Caenorhabditis elegans: one gene and its partners. The protein of the gene in region 1 purifies or fractionates together with the protein of each later gene. This does not show direct contact. Each region holds a gene or a part of one and is shown on either strand. Other genes may lie near its edges.

The links.
Region 2: the proteins of spe-15 (region 1) and gipc-1 purify together in Caenorhabditis elegans (affinity purification with western blotting, with the first as the bait; one study listed by BioGRID). This does not show direct contact.
Region 3: the proteins of spe-15 (region 1) and gipc-2 purify together in Caenorhabditis elegans (affinity purification with western blotting, with the first as the bait; one study listed by BioGRID). This does not show direct contact.

The regions. Positions count from the first base shown.
Region 1 is NC_003279.8:1,444,497-1,448,251, reverse strand, and holds the start of spe-15 (Myosin motor domain-containing protein), read right to left. Parts: upstream 1,756-3,755; 5' UTR 1,683-1,755; intron 1,599-1,682; 5' UTR 1,587-1,598; coding exon 1,305-1,586; intron 1,118-1,304; exon of another isoform or gene 1,018-1,117; intron 990-1,017; coding exon 695-989; intron 343-694; coding exon 245-342; intron 168-244; coding exon 3-167; intron 1-2.
Region 2 is NC_003281.10:4,868,695-4,872,449, forward strand, and holds gipc-1 (PDZ domain-containing protein), read left to right. Parts: upstream 1-2,083; 5' UTR 2,084-2,145; coding exon 2,146-2,180; intron 2,181-2,234; coding exon 2,235-2,532; intron 2,533-2,579; coding exon 2,580-3,320; 3' UTR 3,321-3,567; downstream 3,568-3,755. Other genes in the region: msd-4 (MSP domain-containing protein), read right to left, coding at 1-49; C35D10.3 (uncharacterized protein), read left to right, coding at 236-273, 583-718, 912-1,204, 1,249-1,402.
Region 3 is NC_003282.8:10,025,974-10,029,728, forward strand, and holds gipc-2 (PDZ domain-containing protein), read right to left. Parts: upstream 1,694-3,755; 5' UTR 1,642-1,693; coding exon 1,607-1,641; intron 1,553-1,606; coding exon 1,255-1,552; intron 1,211-1,254; coding exon 470-1,210; 3' UTR 440-469; downstream 1-439. Other genes in the region: msd-2 (MSP domain-containing protein), read left to right, coding at 3,110-3,439.

The DNA of each region.
Region 1 (3,755 bases):
ACATTAAAACTGCTCGCCGGAGCCAATCTCAACTTCTTGTACAAATCCGGTGACGATCCGGCAATCAATTGATAGAAAATGTGGTAGTTTCTTTCTCCGGCAGCTTGACGGCAGACTCTCGATGTTTCCAGCAAATAGTGAGACACAAATCCACCGGCGACAGTTCCCTGGAAATTGTGGTTGTTGGTGGCCGAGTTTTTGAAATTTTTCACGGCCACATGGCCATCACTTGGGAAAAGCTTACATTATCAGAAAAGTGAATCTGCACAAATTTTCCGAATCGACTCGAATTGTTGTTGCGCAGAGTTTTGGCATTTCCAAAGGCTTCCAGGATTGGGTTGGCTGAAAATTTTAAATTTATTTTAGATCTTGAGCTTCAGCATAAATTATGGAAATTATCGATTTCTGTTTAAAAAAGTGAACATTTATGGTGCCAGACTGTCTCATCCATGGTTTGATCTACACAAAATGCGGGAATTTTTTGCCCAAAAATATATGACGTCAGAGCGTTCTTAACCAAAAGCGAAATCAGATGAGATGTCTGCGTTTCTGCTCCCGCATTTTTTGTAGATCAACGTAGATCAAGCCAAAATAAGACACTCTGACACCTTCCATCCATTTCTACGGGAAAAAATTCCCGGTTACTGCAAACGCGCTCTATTTCGAATTTTCCAAAAGTTCAAATTAATAATACTTTCAAGAAGTCTCTGCTGAATTGGTCCGGCGTCGGTTCCCCAGTTTTCACAGAGGTACTTCAACACTGCTTTCTGTGATTCAGTCTTTCCGGCTCCAGACTCTCCAGACACAATAATCGATTGGGACGTCTTGATACGACGCATCTCTCGATAGGCCTTGTCGGCGATCGCAAAAATGTGCGGCTCCATCTGACCGAGCGATTTTCCACGGTATTCTTTAATCGTTTCAGGAGAATAGAGTCCATCGATCAGTTGGTAGGGGTTGATTGAGATCAGAATGTTTGCCACGTAGGTCTGAAAAAGCCAAATAAAATAAAATATTAAAAAAAAAAAAAACAAAAAGATTTGACCCAGGCAGGGCTCGAACCTGCAATCTTCTGATTAGAAGTCAGACGCCTTATCCATTAGGCCACAAGGCCACGGAACAGACGCGCCGGAGAGACCTACATAAAGACGCTGACAAAACCAGCGGGGTGTCTCGCACACAGCCGTGCACATAAACACTCCACAGGCGGCCGGCAAGCTGTGCGCGTTTGGTCTAGTGGTTAGCGAGCTACTCTTTTGTACACAAGACCGGGGTTCGATTCCACATGCTTGCTCCATACTTACATAGATTTTGCCATTTGCATAACGCAAACGACAATTGTTGAGCAGTGTCGCCTCATTCAAGTGCACTAGAGCGCAATTGTCCTCGACCGACTTCTGCGGATCCTCCTCACAGGCCCATGTGTCCTCATAGCGACGATTCACAGTTTCCGACGTCTTTTCAGTGGCCAATGTGAAGCCGTTTTCCGCGATATCTGTGATACGGGCGGCCACAAAGCCCTCTGCTTCATCCGAAATCCACACGAGACGCCCGAAATCCGCGGTACTATGTGTGCTACTATCCATTGCTTCTTTTTTCTGCAAATACGCTCTATTGGACAGGGCGTGGTGAGTGGGCGAGAAGAGAGAGAGAGAGCCCAGACGACGAGAACATTGACTTACCACGTGCAAAATTGTTGTTTATGCAGGGAGAAAAACGGTAATGATTGAAATTTGAACTAAACGGTTTGGTTTCGATTTTCGGAAAATGCACGTGACAAAAAGGTTGCCCTGTGGCACGTGGAAACGTCGATAAAACATTTAAAATTAAAATTTATTGATTTTTCCTCAATGTCTCAAATTTAAAATGAAAAAGTCGATTTTCAGGCTTAAAACTTTGAAAACTACAGTAACCGAAGTTTAAAGGGGCATGCTTGTAATTTATCGATTTTCCTTAAATTTTTCAAAATTGGAATTAAAAAACACGGATTTCTGGCTTGAAATGGAAGAGTTGCCGAACTAGGCCATATGGGCTCGGCCATATCTGGGGTAGATTTACGGCGCGTTGCGTGTCGCGTCGCGGCTCGATTTTAGTTGTAAAACTAAATCTATTTGTCCGTGTGGAGTACGCGACACTTTCCCACGCGTTGTCCGTCAGGAGATTGTCAATGGAGCGCGAAAAATTCAATGAGAGTAAAGCCAGAAACCCGTGAAAAAATTGATTTCCAGACTTAAAACTTTAAAAATTACAGTACCCAAAATATAAAAAAGCATGTACGTTTCTAATGAAACAAATTGAGGGTTTCTCGATTTTTCGAACATGTTTATAAAAATTCTTATCGATTAAAATTTAAAGACGTACATGTCTGAAATCATTCGATTTCTGTGAAGTTTATTGGTTTTTTTTTTCGGAAAAATATACAGTACTCCATTTTTAAAGGCGCACAACGGTTTCAAAAATTTATCAATTTTCGTTAATATTATTATATAATTTTTCGCGCTCCATTGACAATCGCCTGCCGGGCGGGAAAGTCGTGTACTCCACACGGACAAATAAATTTAGTTTTACAACTAAAATCGAGCCGCGACGCGACACGCAACGCGCCGTAAATCTACTGATCCAAAATGGCCTAGTTCGGCAAAAACTCTCCCATTTCAATTTATGAGGGAAGCCAGAAATCCTAAAAATTTGAAACTCAAACGCGTTCCGTGGCCGCGGAAAGAGAAAACACCGGCCACAAACATTTTTTTCTCCAAAAAGGCCGTTTTCCTTACAACTTTTGCCTATAAATAAGGCGAAAAGTATCAAATTTCAGAATTTATGAAATATTCACCAAAAAGAGCCCGAAATTGTGCAAATATAAAGCCGCCCCACTCGAGACTGAATAGGTAAATGTGTATAACAATTAATATATTACTTTTATGAAACTAATCTCCCCTACAAAATAAACAAAACACAATTCGCTCCGCAGGGGCCCAATTCAATGGGAAAACAGTCTCGGACAATTGTTTGTGGGGGGAAACTATCGTGGAATTGAGGTCAAAAGAGACAGTGGATTTGCCGAAAAAGTTTATGATGTGGCAGTTTAGACATGTCTATTACCTGAAAATTGCGCGGAATTACACCAAGCGCGCTCTATTGCGCGCCCACAACTCGACGCGAAATTGCAGAAAATACGAATTTTTAGATTTTTTGTTTTTAGGTCTCGAAGCGAGGAGTTTAACTGCTTTTTTTCCAAATTATAGCCAGATTCACGGATTTCTGGCTTCCCTCGTAAATTGAAATGGAAGAGTTTGCCAAACTAGGCCATGTTGGCTCAATAGATTTACGGTGCGTTGCGTGTCGCGTCGCGGCTCGATTTTAGTTGTAAAACTAAATGAATTTGTCCGTGTGGAGAACACGACTTTCCCAGTCCGGCGGGCGATTGTCAATGGAGCGCGAAAATTCAATGAGGAAGCCCAGAACCCCGTGCAGATTTAAATCGCATTTCCGCGGAAATTTCCGGAAAAAAATCTTGATCTGATCGAAAAATTGCAATATTCATGAATTTTGATCGTATTTTCGAGTTATTTCTGGACTTTCAGCCGCCTTTAGTCAAAAACTTTCAAAAAATCAAACATCGCGTCGAGACCCATTATTGTTCAGTAGAGCGCATTTGCATACACCGGCAGAAAACAAGCTCGCGCATAATAGCCAACAAAATCCGAATAAAAAGGGCGAATTTCCGCTTTCTTCCAAAAAAAAAAAACGCAGCC
Region 2 (3,755 bases), on another chromosome or scaffold:
CTCCCGCAGCTGGGACAGTGCATGCTGGCGGATCGGCCGTCAGAGACATCTTTTGAAACTTTTTGTTAAAGTTGTATAAATTGAACAAATCAATCGTATTTATAGCAACTCTTATCAAGATGTACCAGTGACCTCACGTGAACTTTCGAGTTTAAACATTTTCGAAAATTTTGAAAAGGTTTTTTGGTGTTATGAATAAAATATAAAAAATTTATAGAAAAAATTCATTTCCACAATGACGTGTTCAGTTGGAATGATTGGTCAATTTTCAAGGTTTGGAATAGTTTGTGTTAATGGGCATTATGTTGGGGTATTTCAAGGCTTAACATTTAGATAGCCAGCGTATGTCATGATGTATTGTGTAGGCATAAAATGCCTGCTTGATTTCCTACAAGAAAACCTAGATCTATTGTGTACCAACCCGCAAAAGCTCTCTTTTGTAGTAGGCGAAAGGTAGGCATGTGTGCCTTGAGACAAAGCTGTTGCTTTCTTCTCAGGATTTGTTCCATATTCTTAAGAATTAGAAGCTTTTGTGAGAAAATTTAAAGAGTGTAAACTTCTATCAAACTTCTCTTTTTTCAGTTACGCAATATGCAGCCCAAACTTATGGATGATTGTTGCTTGTACATGCATGACACTCCTTACAATGCTTATGACGTTATATATGAATTGCGGGTTTCGAAGGAATGTACGATGGCTGAAGTTCACTGAGTGGAAGGTTTGTGTTCATTAGATCAGATTGTTAGTGCAGGTTCAACGTATCTTCCTTTTCGGGCCCTGCCTAAATATTTCATCCGACCGAGGCGTAATGATCATTGATGATCACGTAATCGCCATCCTCTTGCAATAGGCGCCTTCCGGTCGAGAGGGGTGAGCGTGAATTGTGAAGCTCACTTCTATTCATATTTCAGCTCCAGCAACTCGCCGAACGTCTCCGCATTCAAGAGCCAAATGTAGGTCTTCTTATGCAAGTAACCAGAAAAGTGAATGATAAGAAGAACAGTGATAAGAAAGAATTCGACTTTTTCAACAATCGAGATCAAAATAACAATATCGCAGGAGCATTGAATGAAGTGGCAAGTAAGACAAGTAATGGCTCAATGGGATCAACGGATGTAGTTGCTGCTCAAATCAGAAAGGCGAGAGATGAAGACGTAGAGAAAGTGTTGCGGGAGAGTAATATGGATATTCTTACTCCTGATGTGTATGTTTTAAGTTTGAATTTTCTGAAAATGATTATATTTTCAGCCAACCCACTCAACCAAGCACTGGAGGATCTCAGAAAATTCTGAAAAAGTGGACAGGAGCAACAATAGATCTCTTCTCGAAAGATGAGGATGAGAATGAAGGGAAAGGAAAAAAGGAAAGAAAAAATAAAATTGATCGAACTCAAGAGGATTGATTTTTAATAAAGATTTTTCATTAAAAAATTCCCATTGGGTTTCAATATAAGAATTTCCTGCACCATAGTTATGGCCCAGGAGCCAGCCAGAAGTATAGTCACAAAGCGTATTATCAGGTCTATCAGTATTCATAGAGAGTATTCATACTTCTGGTTTTTTTTGTCGCTACTTGGGCTGATATTTCAGTTTCACAAGATACATTCCCAACCATCACTATTCAAAAGTCGACGGGGCTCCTGCTCGGAAAAGTTTGACAAAAGAAACCCAGGATAAAAAGAACTGCTTCAAATAAATGATTTCAAATAGTTAAAATCACAAAAAACTAGATATCAATTTTAAATCGCTCGGCTCCTCCGATGAGCACATAATCCTTTTTGAGCTCATGAAGAGTCCGCAGCCAATATTTTTAGGGCAAGTCTTACGGGTACGGTAGTTGAACAATTAACTCGTGTTAAGATCTGGAAATTGCCTCGATATTGAGCAAAAATCGAGAGAATTGTTTGCGATTTACTTTAGTTATACGTGTTACAGTTTTAAAACAAAATGAAGAAAAACACGAAAATTAATAAAATTCGAAAGTTATATTTTTAATGAACTTCCTCAGCGTGGCACTCTAATTTGGTTGGCATCTAAGCTCCGCCCACATCAATGCCTATAAAAGATCAGTTTCTTGATAAAATGATTCATTCATCGATTTAACACCAACTCACTTCAACTAGTACAACTACTAACATTCTCCACAATGCAAGGACAAGGATCACCATTCTGCCGTTCTAGGTATGTATTACATGAGCCCGAGTCTTATGTCTCAAGTTACCATGAATATTTTAGAACCCGCTCGAGATCTCGTGGAGCTTTCAATCGTAGCTCCAACCACGGTTCAGTGCTTCCAATTCAGCCTGCCGTATTGGATTCAATTGCCGAGGAATCATCGTCTACTATCATGACAGTAGTCAATCCTTTGATGGTGGCAGCAAGACAGCTCAAATTTGCTTGCCAGATGGCTCATGGAAGTCCAGTTGGAATCATCGACAAATGGAACAATATGGAGGAATTGTATCAATCAATTGCCGATTGCTTTACAATTTCAAAAGATGATATCATTTTCCTGACAGTCAATGATTTTAAGGTTAGTTTTGACATAAATAAGTCAAATTCTTATTCTAAATATTTCAGCCAGACATGAAGAACATGTTCACTGGAACACTGAACTTCAAGGATATGCTCTTCGCCCACATTCGCGGACAAGCAACCGAGCTCCGAGTCGTCAAAGATGCTAAAAACTTTGGAGTGACAATCACGGACAACGGACTCGGGAATGCATTTATCAAGGTCATAAGCCCAGATTCGGTGTTTGATCGTATGCGTCCAGCCACTCAAGTTGGTCAACTCATTGAGGCGGTCAATGGAGAATGTGTGCTCGGGAAAAGGCATTACCAAGTTGCCCGAATTTTGAAAAATGTTCGTCGCGGCGAGGAATGCGTGGTTCGATTGATTGCTCCAAAGACTGCTGATCCAGGAACCATGAAGACGACTGGAAAAACTGGCGGAGGTCTGGCAAAAGGAACCATTCGTTTCAAATCGGAAGGCGGATTTGCTGTTGAGGATGTTCAAGATCAGATGATCCAAGCTGAGATGTGCGGAAAGCTCAATGAGATATTCGACCAATACTTGGGAGTTCAAGATGATCAGCTGGCCATGAGAATCTGGGAAACTGCTTCAAACTGCGAGACGCTTTTGCAACTCAGTGAAGCCATCAAAGAGTCGGAGCTCTCAATGTTCGATTTCCCGGATGGAATGGTTTTCGATATGTGGGGAATCATCGGTGATTTGAAGCGGGAGCAACGTGAGAAGAAGCCATCCCCAGTCATGAAGAATGCGATTTCAAGACCATCGGCTATGAAACTCTTTGAGTAACTTTTACTGTGGAATAAATTATTTTAATCTCCGAACTGTCTTAAATTGGTTTAAAGTATATCCCACTAACTTTTCAAATTTATTCGATTCACAAGACTTGAAAAACACTCTTTCCGCTGCTTAGTTCGATTGTTTCATTCAGCACATCTTATTCTCCAACAGGCATCCGCATTTCATAAGCCTCTAGAAAATCATAGCATTCATCGATTCCCAGTTTAAATGCTGTTTAAATGAAGCTTCAAATTTATTTTATTTTTCTTTTGTCAAAATGTTTATTTTAAAACAGCGTTTTGTCAAAAGTATGTATTCAATTTTATGCTTTCCCATTGGTTTCTCATTGGAGCTCTCGAGCTCCAAATGTCCGTTACACCATGTCCACCTGCAACCTAGTTAGAAGCGAAAGATAAAATCTGCATAAACTTCAAACGTTTTGTA
Region 3 (3,755 bases), on another chromosome or scaffold:
AACTTAAACACATGCAGCAGGGAAACAAATTCTGCTTACTTTTTTTTATAGAAAAACCTAATGAATTCAGGGATGTGTCAAACATTTCAAATTTCGCCAGTCGTTGGCCGCGCCGGAGGCGCGGTCAGCGGCTGGTCAATTGTATAAAAGGAGTACTGTAGCGTTTCATCAAAATAAAATCATTGGAAACCTCTAGAATGCCGATTCTTGTTGGAGAGAATACAATTGCAAGTTGAAATCTAGCACCTACGGCGCGGCCCTCGACTTTTTTGAGAAAGCACATTAGATGTACGGTGTCTATCGCGGACCTCGATCGATGTCTGCTGCGTATTTAGCATAAGGTTTCCCAAAATGATCAGAGATCAAACTACATAGTGACGGAACGACACGCGCTTTATATATAGTAAATTGATTTAGAAACAATTAAATTCAGCTAGGACAAGAAAAATAATTTATTTGACAATACAAGTTAGTCAAAGAGTTTCATAGCCGATGGTCTTGAAATAGCATTCTTCATGACTGGCATTGGCTTTTTCTCACGTTGTTCGCGTTTCAAATCACCAATAATTCCCCACATGTCGAATACCAATCCATCCGGGAACTCGAACATTGAGAGCTCCGACTGTTTGATGGCTTCACTGAGTTGCCAAAGTGTCTCGCAGTTTGAGGCAGTTTCCCATATTCTCATGGCCAATTGATCATCTTGAACTCCCAAATATTGGTCGAACAGTTCGTTGAGTTTCCCGCACATCTCAGCCTGGATCATCTGATCTTGAATATCTTCAACAGCAAATCCACCTTCCGATTTGAAACGAATGGTTCCTTTTGCTAAATCTCCGCCAGTTTTCCTAGTCATCTTCATAGTTCCTGGATCCGCACTCTTTGGAGCAATCAATCGAATGATACATTCCTCGCCGCGACGAATACTTTTCAACATACGAGCAACTTGGTAATGTCTTTTACCGAGCACAGACTCTCCATTAATCGCCTCAATGAGTTGACCAACTTGTGTTGCTGGACGCATACGATCGAACACCGAACCTGGGCTTATGACCTTGATAAATGCATTTCCGAGTCCGTTGTCAGTGACTGTCACTCCAAAGACGTTGGCGTCTTTGACCATTCGGAGCTCAGTTGCTTGTCCGCGAACGTGTGCAAAGAGCATATCCTTGAAGTTGAGTGTTCCACTGAACATGTTCTTCATGTCTGGCTGAAAATATTTCGAATTAGAGGAATTAAAGTATCAAAGCTTGCCTTGAAATCATTAACCGTCAGGAAAATGATATCGTCTTTTGAGATTGCAAAGAAATCAGCAATTGATTGGTACAATTCCTCCATATCGTTCCATTTGTCAATGATTGCAACTGGAGATCCATGAGCCAACTGGCAGGGAAATTTGAGCTCTTTTGCTGCAACCATCAATGGGTTCACCACTGGCATGATTGAAGATGATGGTTCTTCGACAATTGAAGCTAAAACGGCAGGCTGAATTGGATGAGCTTCTCCATAGTTGGAGCGACGATTGAAGGCTCCACGAGATCTTGATCGGCTTCTGAAATATTCATGGTAACCTGAGATCTGAGACTCGGGCTCATGAAATGCATACCTAGAACGGCGGCATGGGGCTCCTTGTCCTTGCATTGCGAAGAGTTAGTTGTAATTAGTTGTTGTAAGTCGAGTAAATCGATGAATGAAGGATTTACCAGAAAATTGATTATTTATAGACATTGATGTGGGCGGAGCTTGGATGCCAACCAAAGTGGGGTTCCACGCTGAGCAAGTTCATTAAAAAATATAACTTTAGAATATTTTTTCGTTTCTATTTATTCATGTATATGCTTTCTTTTTTTACCTGTTTTTAAACTCAAACACGTGTAACAAGTAAAATTGTAATTCGGAAAAAATGTATAGATTTTTGCCTCAAAATCCAGGGTTCTTTGATCTTTGACTTTGCATGATTTTCTTGATACTTACCGTGATTTTGATACTTCTTATTAAAAAAAATTTTTTTTTTGGCAAAGTATAGGCTTGATGAAACGTTTCACTCGTGTCGGGACCCGGGGACGTGTATAATCGTAAATCTCAGAAGTCTGTGGCGAAAATATTAGACTCCTGCTGTTCATAAGCTCAAAGAGGGTGATGTACTCATCGGAGGAGCCGAACAAAGTGAAGGATGTAAAATTTAGAACTTCTAGTTAGCTATATGATCCTTTACTTCATTTGAGTAATGAACTGAAAACATACGTTCCAATAAGTGAGAAGCCATCGTTCAAAACTCGCAAAACATTAGAAGCATTGTTAGGAGTTTCATGCATGTACAATAAACAATCGTAACTGTAATAAATAAATTTTAAATTATCTGACAAAAAAATATGTTGAGAAGAAAAAACAAAATGTTCTTGAGGCCCACGTGCCTACCTGGCTGCCTACCGCCCATTTCTCCGCATTTTGATTTAAAATTGATTTTTTAAATCACTGATTTATTATTTACAATCATGTGCAAAGTTTTGCTCCATAAATACATCTGGTCTCCACACGACACATTTCTGTTACATACAAAAATGTTTTGTTAGGCGAAATATATGAAAATAAGTTATTCGAAAATTCAAAATTAGTCGTGCCGAAGGTGGACATTCTGTTTTTGGCAAAAATCGCGTATCTCAAAGTTATTCTTTAGTGTCTATTAGTCCACAACTCAAGTAATTCCGAACCTTTGAAATTGACATTCCAACTAAACACGTCATTGTTAGTTGACGCCAGTTAGCGGTGAATTTTTCATGTTATAGAAAAATATATTTAATGACTTATTTATTTTTATCCTTACATACATCGGAAAAAAAAACTTTTTTAAATTTACAAAAATATTTTTTTTTCTATATTTTTATTTTTTCCTTAACCTCTTCCACGTCTTCTCGAGAGCGTAAATAACTTTTAAAAAACTATATTTTCAAAAGGGAGCAGACAGTTGATATTAACAAACCTTTTTAAATTTACAAAAATATTTAAAATCAAAAGTTCACGAAAGGTCACTGGTTCATCTTGATAACGACTGCTATAAATAAGGGTAATATGTTCAGTTTATACAACTTTAACATAAAGTTTCAAAAAGATGTCTCTGACGGCCGATCCACCAGCGTGCACTGTTCCAGCTGCTGGAGGTGCTTCCACCCACAAACTTGTTAATGCTGGAGCTGAGAAGATGATCTTCAAGATCAAGTCTTCAAACAACAACGAATACCGCATCACTCCGGTATTCGGATTCGTTGATCCATCTGGTTCAAAGGACATCACAATCACTCGTACTGCTGGAGCACCAAAAGAAGACAAGCTTGTTGTTCACTTTGCCGCTGCTCCGGCTGATGCAACTGATGCCCAAGCTGCGTTTGCTGCCATCACTCCAGCTGGAACCATTACAATTCCAATGTCGGCAACGGCTTAGACGTTTAAATCGACGAGTATGATGAGACAAAGATGAGCATTTTGGAAAAAAGAGATTTGAATGTTTTGAATGAAATATTTGAATTGAAGTTTTTGGTTTTTATTATTTCACATTGGTTTCTTACTAGAACTGCTTAGTTTCAATAAGAAACCAAAGAATTTATCATAATTGTGGCTAAGAAAGTGCCCACTAAATATTTTAACCAGGAATTGGAAACCCGGGATCATATCACTTTCTAGGTTTCAAAGCGGTTGATGCCAATCACTGCCGATCAGCCAATCACAAGGTATAATACCAGATAAAATGATGGAAGTAA